Linked DNA regions of Caenorhabditis elegans. The protein of the gene in region 2 interacts with the protein of the main gene of each other region in a pairwise test. Each region holds a gene or a part of one and is shown on either strand. Other genes may lie near its edges.

Region 1 (7,230 bases), on a different chromosome or scaffold from region 2:
TATAAAATCTAGGAAAGTGTGATTTTTGAATGTTACAAGCCGAGGACATAAACAGGGCGTCATATGAATTTTATTTTGGAGTTACGAGGTACAAATGGAGTCATGAGAAACTATGAATTTAGTCTTCAAATTTGTAGATCACATATCGAGGGAATTTTAGAAAAGAACCATAAATCTAGTGGGTACTTCAAAAAATTCCAAAAAGTCTATTTTTTTTCAATAAAAACTAAAATTTAAAAAATATTCTACAGATACCGGGAATCGAACCCGCGGCCTTCTGCGTCATAGATAGAATTTCAAATAGTTTTGAAAAACTGAAGGTTTTAAATAATTTTTTTTTGCAATTTTTTCAAAAAAAAAAAAAATTAATTCTCCCTACATTTTGTACTTTAAAATCCAACATTTTGGAGCTTACAAGCTCCCCGCGTGGGATCCGGAGATTAAGAATTCAAAATTCTGCATTTCTACAAAAAATATTTGTTTTTTGATTCTGGATTACGGAAATAAGTCTTGAAACTTCTTTTTTTCCGCCACTCAATCGTCCAGTAGCCCCCATAATCTAGTGGGTACTTCAAAAATGTTGTAAAAATTCAAAAATTGAGTTTTTCTTACCAGAAACTGAACATGAAAAATCTCTGCACCTACCGGGAGTTGAACCCGCGACCTTTTGCGCCATAGATAACCCTGTTACCGATTGCGCCACCGTGTCTCAAATTTTTCAAAAAATGCTTCAATCGACGCAGAATTTTACGGTGAAAATTTTTGCAATTGACAACTTTTTTCTAGCTTTCACCGTTAAATAGTTATAAGGGTTTAAAGTTTGGCTTGAGAGAAGGGAGAGACGCAGACAACGAGACAGTCTGCGTCTCTCTCAGCCTCTATCTCTCTCGTAAGCCCAAGCTTTGAAAGCGTGTAACTCTGCAACTAGGCTTGCTATCAGAAAATTTTTAACTATAGAAATGTGTAGAACGTTTAGCTGAATAATTTTGTAATGAGAAACTTTTTGATAGCTCCGCTGGTTTTGAAGTTATAAGCGGAAAAATTTTACAAAACACTAGAACTAAAACTAAAAACTTCACATAATTAAATTTCCAGCATCTGAAAAAATTTCAGATTACCTCTTAAATACACGACGGTTGTGTTGTTGTCACTCTCCCCCTGGCCGCTCGTTTTATTTTTTGTATTCGACCTCCTGCTCTCGTATACGAGAACAATGTGATTTTCTTAAGATGGAACACGTCGGAAAACAAATGAGCAAATATTTTTCTTGGACTATGAGAATATATCGGAGTAATGAATTCGTACTCGCGCGCGTTTTTGCAGTCGGGGGAAAACATGGGTTTTGGTGGAAAACTCGAAATTCGTTAGAGCTATCAAAAACTTGCTAACTGCAAAGCTGTTCAGCTTAAAATATTAGATACTTTTATAGTTGGGAGTTTTTTGATAGCTAATCTAGTTTCAGAGTTAAGCGCCTTCAAAGTTTGAACCTACGAGAGAGAGAGAGACCCAGACTGTCTCGTTGTCTGCGTCTCCCCCTTTCTCACACTAAACTTTAAACCCTCATAACTATTGAACGGTGAAAGCTTGGAAAAAGTTGTCAACTACAAAAATGATCAGCGTGAAATTCTGCGTCGATTGAACTATTTTGTGGAAAATTTGAGAAACTTTCGAAAAATGAGTGTCGCGGTGGCTCAGTCGGTAAGAGAGTTGGTTGGGGTGCAGAAGGCCGCGGGTTCGATTCCCGCTAGCTGCAGACTATTTTTATTTTAAGTTTTTGGTAAGAAAAACTTGTTGGAAATGTTAAAAACTTACAATTTTCGAGTTTTTGGACCTTTTTTTGAAGTACCCACTAGATTATGGGGACTACTGTCCCATTATGTTGGTGAAAACAGAAATTTACGTCTTATTTCCGTAATCCAAAATCAAAAACCTTTGAATTTTTGAATTTTTAAAGCTCTGGACCCCTGTGTAGGCTTGTAAGCTCCAAATTTCGGATTTTGGAGCACAAAATTTTGTGAGAATTCAAATTTTTTTGGAAAAAATGCAACTTTTCCAAAAAAAAGTTTGCCATCAAAATTTTTTATTCATTTTTACGTCGAAAAATTGACGAATTGGGATGGGACAGACACAGAGACATAGAGACAGAGAGAAAAAAGGTGCCATTTGAAGAAAAAAAAGACAATTATGGTTGGAAATCAATCAATAAAATCCGAAAAAAATCAATTAATAAACGTGGGAAAACGAAAAAAAAAGAGGATTTTTTGCAAATGATGAAAATTGGGGGAAAAAGTGAAAAATTCGAATTTCCAGCCAAAAAAGGAGCAATATTTTGGTGATTTTTGACGAAAAAAAAACATTGAATTTTCAGACAAAAATTTGAAAGTTAGCTGAGTTAGAATTCCAACTTTTATAATTTTTTGGCTAAAATTTTCCGATTTTCACAATTAAATTTCGAGTATAAAAATGGCGATTTTCAGCAAAAAAAAACTTAAAAACTCTGAAAATTTTGTTGGAATATCGAAATTCAAAATTTCAGAATTTTCATACAAAAACATAGTGAAAATTTGACTTAAAAAATGCCAAATGATTTTTTCGAAAATTCACAAATTTTTCAGCTATTTGGTCGAAATTTTCAGATTTTCACAAATTTTGGGTCTAAAAATATCAATTTTTAGCCATTTTTCACTAAAAAAGGCCGAAAATCCGCAAAATTTAGCTGTTTTTCAGTCAAAAATCGTGATTTTTTCTTGAAATTTCACAATTTTTTCAGTTTTTAAGGTCAAAAATTTCCGATTTTCAGCCAATTTTCACCGGGAAAAAATCCTCATCTATGTAAACAACAAAAGACAGAGAGAGAGAGAGAGAGAGAGAGAGAGAGATGACTGGGGTGTATAAATATATACAAAAAAAAACTACCGTATCTTAAAGTGTTCCGGAAAAAATACAAAAAAAATGAATAAACGAGAAGAAAAAATTTTCAAAGGGATCGATTGTGTTGAGAGAAAAATGTGGGGGGAAATTCAAAAATTTCAAAAAAAAAAAATTGATTTTTTTTCGAAATTTCTTTTACGGGGATGATGGGAAAAGCTTTTGATTTCAGATGATTTTTGGGGGTAGAAAAATTTCAGAAAAATTCCTGAAAATTTAAGCATTCGATCCACTGGCTCCTTCATCCATACGGTCATCGTCTGCATCATTTGCTCCTGGAGCAGCAATTTCTTCAATTTCCACGTCATCCTTGAGCACTGCGTCGCCCTCGTTTTCGCCGAAATTGAGCCAGGACTGGAAAAAATTATAGAATTTTTGGAACTTTTTTTGTGTTTTTTCAGCTTCGTCGAAGCCTAGGCTTCTAGGCCTAGCTTAAGTCCAGGCCAATGACTAAGCCCAAGCCTAAGCCTGAACCTAAGCCAAAAATTTCTAATTTTTAATTTTTAGCCTCAAATTTCGGTTCTTTTTTGCAAAATTCAAAAAAAAAAAAATTATTTTTGCTTGAAATGTCAGCCATTTTCAGCCAAAATTCAGCAATTTTTCGCAAAAAAAATCTCAATTTTGGCATAAAAATTCAGATTTTTCATATTTCGCAAAAAATTTCGCCTATTTTCAGCCGAATTTCAGCCAAACGTTTAATTTTTCTCAAAATTTCAGTTTTGGCATAAAAATTCCAAAATTTTTTAATTTTAACTCAATTTTCATCGATTTTCAGCTAAATTTCCACATTTAGGGTAAAATTTTACGATTTTGAACCACAAAAAGCCAAATTTTGCATACATTAGATGAAAATTTAAGAATTTTCGTATTTCAACTTAAATGTTATCGATTTTCAGCCAAATTTCAATTTTTGGGGTGAAATTTCTCGATTTCGGGTCAAAAACTGCCAAATTTTCAATATTTGAGCTCTAATTTCGCCGATTTTCATCCAAAATTCAGGGTTGTGTACCTGCTCAACAATCTGCTGAACACGTTTCTCATATTCCCGTCGATTTTCTTGATAAAGCTGTGCGGCAAGTGAGTTGGCCGGTGAATTTGGATTGGGCTCGTCGAGCAACGACTGAATCGATGTCAGAATTGCGGCAACATCATACGTCGGAGACCATCGATTCTGTAGAATATCCAGACAAATTGATCCGTCCGCATACACATTTGGATGGAACATTTTGGAAATAAATTTGACGGTTGGCGGTTTATTTGGATATTCTTCAGTAAATTCCAGTGATAATTTGAATGTTCCATCTTCAAACGGGGTTTCTTGTGGTCCAAAAATTATTGCTTCCCATGTGAGAATATTATCTTCTGTTGGTGCACCTGATACTCCTGCTGGTGGATCTTCCTGAAAGATTTGGTCGTTTTTTTGGGGATTTAGAGCGATTTTTTTTGGAAATTAAAAGAAACCTTTCTTTTGGAAAATTTTCAGTTTTTTAGGAATTTTGAGCGATTTTTTTTGGAAATTTTGAGCAATCTTTTAATGATTTTGAGCCGTTTTTTGGTAATTTTAAGTGATTTTTTTTTTGGTAATTTCGACGATTTTTTGGTAATTTTCGACGATTTTTCGGAAATTTTGGGCAATTTTTTTGTGTTTTTCGGCCGTTTTTTGGAAACTTTCGATGATTTTTTGGTAATTTTGAGCGATATTTTTGAAATTTTAGGCGATTTTTCGGAGAATTTCGACGAATTTTTGGAAAATTCGGCAATTTTTTTGGAGGCGATTTTTTGATAATTTTGGCGATTTTTTGGGAACTTTCGATGATTTTTTGGAAATTTTGAGCGATTTTTCAGTAATTTCGACGATTTTTTTTGGTAATTTTTTTTTTTTTTTTGGTAATTTTGAGCAATCTTTTGGATATTTTCGACGATTTTTCGGAAATTTTGGGCATTTTTTTTGTGCTTTTCGACCGTTTTTTGGAAACTTTCGATGATTTTTTGGTAATTTTAAGCGATATTTTTGAAATTTTAGGCGATTTTTCGGAGAATTTCGACGAATTTTTGGAAAATTCGGCAATTTTTTTGGAAAATTCTCGGCGATTTTTTTTTGGAAATTTTCGGCGATTTTTTGGACATTTTCGGCCGTTTTTATGGATATTTTCGGCGATTTTTTGGCAATTTTAATTTTAAAAATTTCACGAGAAATTTATCAAAAATCCCAAAAATATCTAATTTTTTCTGGAAAAAACCAATTTTTGTTGCAAATGTTCTCTAATGTTCAAAGAAAGCCAAATTTTCGGGCCAAAAATTTCAAAACTCACCTGAAGTTTCTTAAAATCTCTCATCAAACGTCTACGGCTGGGCGTCGTCATATTGATAACCTAACTCCTGCAAAAAATGTGAAAATTAGGTTAAAAATTCGAAAAAATGCAGAAAAATGCTAGAACAAGTATGAAAAAAGGTACGGCAACCTTTAAAAAATCAAAAAATTAAAGAAAATATTTTTTAACATTTATTGACAATAATGCAAAAGTTGAGCAATTTGTGTGAGTTGTTGAACTTCTGCCGACGATTCCAGCCAAGCTTCCTGCAAAAATCGAAAAATTAGGTAGAAAATTGGAATTTCCCAAAAAAATTCGTATTTTAGTGCAAATTTGGAATATAATTTCCGTAAAAATTGGAAACTTTCGAAAATGTTTCGTAAAAAATTCAGTTTATGTTAAATGAAAATGCTGGAAAATTGCCAAAAATGTCAAATTTTTCTTTGAAAATTTGAATTTTTTGGAATTTTTCATTGAAATTCGATTTTCTAACTGAAAATTAGAAAATTTTGGTTCAAATCGAACTTTTTTAGTGAAAAAAAAAATTTTAATGAATTTTTAATGAAATTTGATTTTTTTAGTGGAAATTTCTAAATTTTAATTTAAAAATTTCTAAAAAAAAATCAATTTTCCAAAAATTTAAAATTTTACAAAAAAACGTGAAATTCTCAGTAAAATTCAAATTTTCGGTGAATTTTTGATTTTTATCTTTTTTTTTTTTTTGGAATTTCAATTTTCTCACTGAAAATGTCAATTTTTTGGTAAATTTGAAAAATTTGAAGTTTTCGGTGAAAATTTTGAGTTTAAACTGGAATTTTAGGTTTTCCGGAAAATTCGAAATGATTAACTGAAAACTTTCAAAAAATCAAAATTTTGAGTAAAAAAGTCCAATTTTTCTGGAAAAATGCAAATTTTATAATATTTTTCAGAAAAATTCAAATTTAAAGCCGAAATTTTCCAATTTTTCAGTACAAAATATTCAACTTAGGCTCAATTTTTTTCACGATTTTAAGGTAAAAATTCTGATTTACTTAATTATCAGCTATAAAAAAATCAATTTCGACTAAAAAAATCCGTACTTTTTTACAAATTTGATCAATTCGATGTATTCTTTGTAGTAATTCCATTAATCTTTCCGAATTAATTTTCTTTTTTCTTTCCATATTTTCAACCATTTCTCGCATTTCTGGACTAATATCATCGTCGAACATCACATCTCCGGAAACTCTGAAAAATTTTGAAATTGATAGATTTCTTAGAGAGAAGTTTTTGGGAATTTTTATGGATTTTATAGAAAATTTGAGATTTTTGAAAAATCCCTAAAAATTAATTTAAATATTTCAGAAAAAAAAACTATTTTCTTAATTTTTTGGAAAACTCATTACTTCTTAAATAATTTACAGATTTTGTTTTAATTTTTGATATTTTTCTGAAACTTTTTGGCATTAAAAATTTCTTTAAAGTGATTTTTTTTTCAGATTTTTGTGTAAATTCATTTTTCAAAAATTTTAGACATTTTTTCCGGATTTTTTTCTTTTTAATTAATTTTTCTGAACTTTTCCGAAGTTTTTTTTTCGGAATTTTAATTTTCAGAATTTTAACCTCAAAAAATCCACATTTTTCCTGAAAATTCAAATTTTCAAAAAAAAAAAAAAACTAACAATTCAACTTCTTCACCAACACGTTGACCATCTGGAAGCTTCTGCCTATCCGGTTGCTCAATCTGCAAATTTTTACAGTTTTTTGATGGAAAAGCTTCGAAAATTGGCTTTTCTGAGCAGAATTTGGATAATTTTTTCGATTTTTGATGTAAAATTGAAATTTCGCGGTTTTTTTTATGGAAAAACACAAATTTTCTCAATTTGAAGACATTTTTTCATGGAAAATCTTGAAAATTGCAGAATTTGGGTCAATTTTTCAGTGTTTTTTCTACTTATCCTTCGAAATTTCGCAAATTTTCCAGATTTCCTCCACTCACAAACGTCGGATG
Region 2 (6,847 bases):
TTCGAAAGGGGATAAAATTGGCTATACCACTTATCGATTTGTGGTCGATCACAACATTCCTGTGGCATATTGTTGGGAACTTCAAATTGTACCGGCTTATCAGAACAAAGGAATCGGTGGCATGATGCTCGACACGCTGGAAAAGCTCTCTTCAAAGTACAGTTTCAATTAATTCGAGAGCCAATAAACAAAAACTCTTATTTTCAGGACAAACATGAGTAAAGTCATGGCAACAGTTTTTCTGTATAATGGACCGTCGCTCGGCTTCTTTCACAAACATGGATACAACAGCGACGTGACGTGCCCATCCGATGATTCTGGTCTGGATTATGCGATCCTGTCGAAAGAGACACCGAGCACATAAGAATATTAAATTCTGATTCTATGATTTTCTAATTTGTTATCATCTTCATTCTGGCTTAATTGTTACATGTATTTTTTTTTGGGTAAACAAACGTTTTTTATATTTCTACTTTTATAATATTGTGTCGTAAAAACCGTTACTTTTCGTTCAAATATTTATTTTCAAACCAAAATATAAACATTTTTGTAATAATCTTTGTAGATGCCTCATCCTTGGAACACTGCCGATGCATTAGACGATAGTCGGGTACAAGTTGAGCACATTGATTTAGTTCCTCCAAAGTATGCAAATGTACTCAACTTCAGATCTATTAAAACTAGAGATTATTATTTTGGTAAACCATGTTCTGGGCAATTAAATATTTCAATAACTTTTCTTCAGCAATGAGAGATCGTCATCAGCAGTTGGGCGCAGTCACATCTTCAAAAGCTGAAACTGACAAATTGAATAAACACTGTGAGGAGAACACGATAATGGTGGATCAAGACGGAGTAGAAACTCCAGCTGATTATGGAACAGAGAGGATGGTTGCACATGCAATAGAAGATCACCGACTTGCCGCCAATTTGCAACGAATAAAAGTTCATATTCTGAATGCAGTTCAACAAAAATCAATTCAAGCTATTCGTGACCGCCGAGGACTTCTAGTGGATGCTCCAACTGGAATCGGGAAGACTTATGCGTTTCTTATTCCGGCGATTGAAATTGCATTGAGGGAGCGACCATTGCTTACCAATATTTCAACCACGCCATCACCAACTATTCTTATTCTTGCAAATACCAACTCACTCGTTGAACAACTTTTTAATCGTTGTGAAGTTCTTCTTGGTTTGATAGATATGGAAGATATTATACCTATTCGAGATATTAAAATTGAAAAACTAGTTGCTAGCTATCAGTTCACAAAAGGTTCGTTACAGCATTCGTCTAACCAAAAAAAAACGAATTCTTTATAGATCAATGCGATATTGCGTTCTGTACGATGGGAAAGCTGAAAGCATCGATCGAGGATAAAACAATTCTTCTTGACAATTTGAAAATGATGATTTTGGATGAATCTGATAAAATGATTGACATTGCATGCTTCGGAAATGACATTGATTGGGTTTTAGACCAACTACAAGAGGATGTGCTCAGAAATCTTCAATCTTGTTTCTTTTCTGCGTCTCACAACAGAAACGAAGATGGTTCAATTGCATTAACTTCACGTCAATCAAGAATGTTAGGTGAAAATCCATGGTCACTGATCCATTGTCCGAGATTGCCTGGATATATCACTCAACGAGTTATTCGAATTGGTGGACAGCGAGTAAATGATATCCATTCGAATCCTTGGATCGTTAAGATGAATATTATTTGTAAATTGTTAGATGATGATCTCAAGGAAATGGGAAGCACAAAAGAAGGCCCATGGAAGCATACTATTGCAATTTTCTGTGAAACTGTCTCAAGAGTTATTCAGGTTTTACCCCTATTCTTTCGATTTTAAAAATATTGAGAACATTTTCAGGTAACTATGGCACTTCGTCAGATGGGATATAATTTCAAACCTGTATGCAGTAGTGTGTTGAAACAACAACAAGCAATCACTTTGAATGATTTGGAGTTTTGCAACATTCATGGAGTTGTATGTACCAATATTATGTCGAGAGGAATCGATGTGTCTTCTGTGAAACAGGTAAGTTTACATATATATTAAATTGATAAAAACATGGCTACTATTGACCCAAATATTTTTTATCTTAAGTCACATATTTCAGACAATAATCATGGAAATGTCCACCGATTTTCCGAGCTACATGCATAGAATCGGACGAGTTGGTCGCGATGGATGTGGTGGAAGAGCTACTGTCCTCATCGATGAGCATCATTTATTTGGCGGACCAATGTCGAATATTATCGAGCAGCTGTGTTCTTTTATGCTCGAATGCGAGGAAACGCTTCCCAATTGGCTTGTAGAATGGCTGAAGTTGCGTCAATCACTTTAATTGAATCACATATCAATTTCCTATTTTGTGCCGGTTTTTATCGCTTTTCTATGTATCTGATCCTGTATTTTATATTCATTGAACTAATCGAACTCGTAAATAGGTTTTAAAATTTTTTTATTATAAAACAAGAAAGGCTATCCAGCATCAAAATGGATGCTCAATAAATTAATAAAACAATCAATTAACCCGAGAGAATAGGAGAGACTTGAATGCGGGGGAATTGTGATGGAGTGGGGGCGATTGTATGAAGCGAGTTGAAAAGCTGTGCACGATTTGCTTAGAGCTCATCGTGTCCTTCCTCCTCTTCCTTCTCCTCCTCATCATCATCCTTCTTGGCCTCCTTCTCCTCCTCGGCCTTCTTGCGAGCCTCCTCCTCAGCCTTGCGGGTTTCTTCGTCGGCCTTCTCCTTCTTTTCCTTCTCAACAGTCTTCAATTTGTCAAAAGTCTCGGCAGCATGGGCCTCGGCCTCCTCAACAGAGTCGGTGATGATAATGTTGTCAAAGATCGTTCCTGACTTGACCTGAAAAAATAAAGTTTGAGTTTCATTTTTGAAAAATAGAATAAAAGTTTCTTACCTGCCACAAATCGAATCCGATGGCTCCCCAGCTTTCATAAGAGTAGAGTTCATCATCAGGAGTGTACTCTGGGTTCTCAATCTCTGGATGGATCCACTTGCCCTTGTAGGCTGGGTTCTTGATCTGCTTTGGCTTCCACTCACCCTTGTATTCTGGGTTGTCGATCATTGGTGGCTCCCATTCTCCGTCCATCTCGTCATCCCAGTCTTCTGGCTTCTTGGCATCTGGATCTGGGATGTGCTCTGGCTTCTCCCAATCTTCTGGCTTGGCATCCTCGGCATCATCGATGTACTCACGCTCATCCCAGTCCTCTGGCTTCTTTGCATCTGGATCCTTGATCTTCTTGGCTGGAAGAAGATCCCAGTCCTCCTCGAGGCTTCCAGTTTGGGCGCTTTCTCCGTCGATCTTGACTTCGTAGGTATTGTCGGAGTTGAGGATGAGAGTGTAGAGATGAGTGAGTTCGTCGCTCTTGCAGGTGATTTCCTTCTTGATGAGCTTGTTCTCTCCCTTGTAGTTAAGGATAACGTGGACACGGCGAGTTGGTCCGCAGATGTCTGGGCCGAACATGACGTTGTATGGGGTCTCTCCGTGGAAATCTCCCAAGTCAGCATCAGCTCTCATGACCTGGAAAATAAATATTGTTTTAATTGAGAAACATGTTTTGATACTAACAAACTAATGCGAAAAAATTATCACATCAAGAAATTTAAAATACTAACCTTAACGTATCCACCTCCACAGTCGATTCCTTGCTCGTGCTTGACGGTGTATTGGATCACAAGAGTCTTTCCTTTGTTGGAGAAGTCCTTGTCGAACTTGGCGGCACGGGAGTAGAACTTGGCATCTTGGCTGGTCTGGATTCCTTGGTCGCGGGACTCAACATCGAAGAACTTTCCAGCTGAGAGCTTGAAGGCTCCAAAGTCATCCTTGTGCTTGGATTGAACCCATCGCTTCTCCCATGAGGCGTCGTTGAACTCCTCTTTGAAGTAGACTTCAGCCGAAACGACGGCAACGATTGCTAACAGGCAGAGTGATTTCATTTCGTTTTTCGATAAAACGACACCAAGTTGAATCTGAAATTAAAAAGTAAATATAACAATTAAACATATGAATCGGAAAAAGAAGAGATAAATTGAATGAGAATATACCAAAGAATAAAATTCGAGAATTTCAGAGAAGAAAGACTAGAAATGAAACCGAACAAGAGCAAAACTGAAACTGATGATGTTGAACTGAGCTCGTCTGCTACGACAATGGAGTAAGTCGACGTGTGTCTTGCGTGGCTGACACGGCTCGAGGTGCCGCGTATCTATTGGTCCACGTCAGCGACTGGCCAATCGGCGGTCGCCACACATTGAGAATAGGCGGAGCGTGTCTGATGAGAGGCCACGTTGCGTGTCGGCCTCGCACTGCGAAGAGAGCGAGAGAGTGAGTGAGTTGAAGAGATGCAGACGGAGAGCATTTTGGGATAAGGAAATAATGCCCTTGCGGGTGGACAGCAGTCCAGCAGAGGGCTTTTTGATATTATCGCAATTGGGAATCTGATTGAAAAGAACAGAAACAGCTGAGATCAGTATTCTTTAAGGGGTTTAGAACTTTCCATGCTTATTTTGCACTAAATTTCTAGACTTTCGGATTTAAAAATTGGATCACACAGCCAGAATGTAGTAGAATGTATTTATCAACCAATTTCTGAATGAAACCAACGATAAAAACACATTATCGCGTTTATGTGGACATGACGAATCGAAAAATCGCCCTTGACACAGTTATCCATTTTTTGCTTCGTTTTGCAAAACCAGTTTCACAAAAGACGCATGACAAAAATGATGAACCATCGGAAAAAGATGGAAACTACATTTTAAACGACCGTTTGTGTAAATAAAACAATGAAAATGGCGAAAATGAGAGACAAGAAGACTGAAAAAGGCTGAAACGGATGAATAAAATTTGAATGGCGCTTTGGCGCCATCGTTTGGTGTTTGCGTAAATTGCGTACTCTGGAGAAAATTGTGGTTGACCGTATCACTCGTGAGCCAAAGCTGAAATTTGAGCATAATTGAATAAATGCACATATTTTTCAAAGTGGTGATATTTTTCTGGTGTTTCCTGGATTGTTTCTGAAATATCATTTCCAGATTCGAAATTAGTACTGCTCATTATAAAAGTGGTGCTTCAATTCTCTTATCAAGTCCTGGTGGACTCCAGGAGTACAGCACTCGTTATCATCTAAATTATAAAATTGATAAATTCTATATGAAAACATAGTATGAAGAATAATGTGAATATTTTATTAGCTGGCCAGTACAAACGAGTTCCTCTTTACCAAAAGGTACATTGTAAACAATTCGGCATTGAGAACAAACAATAAGTGCATTTTCAAATATTTATTCGGTCCTGGTCAAGAGAAAGATCGGCGACGAGAAGTACCTCGTTAGCCACGCGTCATTTCCACAATTTTTTCACATTCGCATGCTACTCGGGCTCGGTTCACCTGAACATCTAGAATTATAATTTTTTCAGGAATATTTTTAGACCTCTGAACTCCAGGAAACTGCATTTCGAACAAAAAGTCTGACACGATCACAAGTTGACGTAATATAAGGAAAGGTGTAGAGCATTGCAAAATGATTTCGATCTTGCCTGAAATTTATCACGAAATGATATTGTAATTTACCGTACTCCTTACTATAGCTTTAAATTATTCAAATGCCTACCTGCCTGCCTGGAAGCAAAACTTCAAGAGACCTACGTCTACTGTTAAGTTCAATGCAAGCCACACCTGCCTTCTAGGCACATAGGTAGGCACTTATCAATATTGAGGTAGTCCTACTTCTCACAGTGTCTACAGTATGACATCGGCAAGAAATCGGTTTTTGATTATTTAAAAAATCTAACTAAATCCAAAAAATAAAATGAAACTTACACTGGTTTCTTGGTAATTTCTGGGCAAAACTCGTTGGTTGAGATTCCTGAATACTTTTGAAGCCTACTCAACTCGTAGTCCATATGCTTCATGTTTCTCTCAATAGTTGCATTGTTCCACACAAATACAGTTTCGATTTTGATCTCCCCGCCTGCACATTTTCCTTTTGTGATTCTAAACATATATATATTTCCAGATTCTGGCTATTAGATTCACTCACACGTTATCTCTTTGCACAGGGGGTGGTGGCGGGACTAAAGCAGCGAACAAAGGGAAATTGGATAGAATTGGAGCAAAATCATTAAACAATGGAGAACTTGGAATACTTGAGAATATCTTGACTGAATGACAACAAGTAATCTAGAATAATTCATTGTTTATTTGAAGGTGAAATATCGTAAATGGAGAGATTATTTAAAATTGCCCATTCACAAGGGAAATCTTTGAAGGGGCCCGTAGGTTTGGGGTTCTCATGTTGAATATCCGATAGAAGACTGTTAGTTATGATCTCTCCGAAAAATTTAGCTGCCCAAGTCAAGTTTCAGCAAAGTTATGACGTTTTGAAATTTCAGCTTTGAACACGTTAGTGCTTAAATGTCCAAATAAAATAGTAAAACGTTTCAAAACATTTTTGAAATTTTTTATTTGCAATTAATTTTTTATGGTGAAAAATTAGTCATAATAATTTTAGTTATAATAAAACCTATAAAAATTTTGAAAGTAGACCTAAAACAATTTTCTACAATTTTTATATTTTCAACTGTTTGTATTCAAACATTCTGACAGTTCCTGTGGCAATGCTGGAAATAGCTCAAAAAGTCCAAATGTTGGCAATTTGCCAAAACTAACTTAAAATTTTGGAGTATTTTATTAGAATACTTTTCAAACTAAATCCACACTGGCAATACTCCGTAGAAGGCATTGGCTTGAAGATTAGGCAGATCTATAATTAACCCACAATTTATTGAAACCATGAACCTACTTGATTAAT

Evidence for each region.
Region 1: the proteins of crt-1 (region 2) and ubc-1 interact in a two-hybrid assay, tested with the Caenorhabditis elegans proteins (2 studies listed by BioGRID).

The regions. Positions count from the first base shown.
Region 1 is NC_003282.8:4,101,097-4,108,326, reverse strand, and holds ubc-1 (Ubiquitin-conjugating enzyme E2 1), read right to left. Parts: upstream 5,308-7,230; 5' UTR 5,292-5,307; coding exon 5,241-5,291; intron 4,328-5,240; coding exon 3,938-4,327; intron 3,283-3,937; coding exon 3,145-3,282; 3' UTR 2,064-3,144; downstream 1-2,063. Other genes in the region: C35B1.2 (SWIM-type domain-containing protein), read right to left, coding at 5,432-5,506, 6,320-6,467, 6,902-6,963, 7,219-7,230. UniProt on the Caenorhabditis elegans protein: Catalyzes the covalent attachment of ubiquitin to other proteins.
Region 2 is NC_003283.11:6,096,540-6,103,386, forward strand, and holds crt-1 (Calreticulin), read right to left. Parts: upstream 4,004-6,847; 5' UTR 3,971-4,003; coding exon 3,650-3,970; intron 3,555-3,649; coding exon 2,931-3,554; intron 2,876-2,930; coding exon 2,633-2,875; 3' UTR 2,453-2,632; downstream 1-2,452. Other genes in the region: Y38A10A.7 (N-alpha-acetyltransferase 40), read left to right, coding at 1-156, 208-364; smut-1 (Synthetic MUTator), read left to right, coding at 566-698, 746-1,273, 1,321-1,826, 1,875-2,042, 2,125-2,352; Y38A10A.11 (DNA-directed DNA polymerase), read right to left, coding at 5,365-5,424, 5,468-5,573, 5,857-5,948. UniProt on the Caenorhabditis elegans protein: Molecular calcium-binding chaperone promoting folding, oligomeric assembly and quality control in the endoplasmic reticulum (ER) via the calreticulin/calnexin cycle.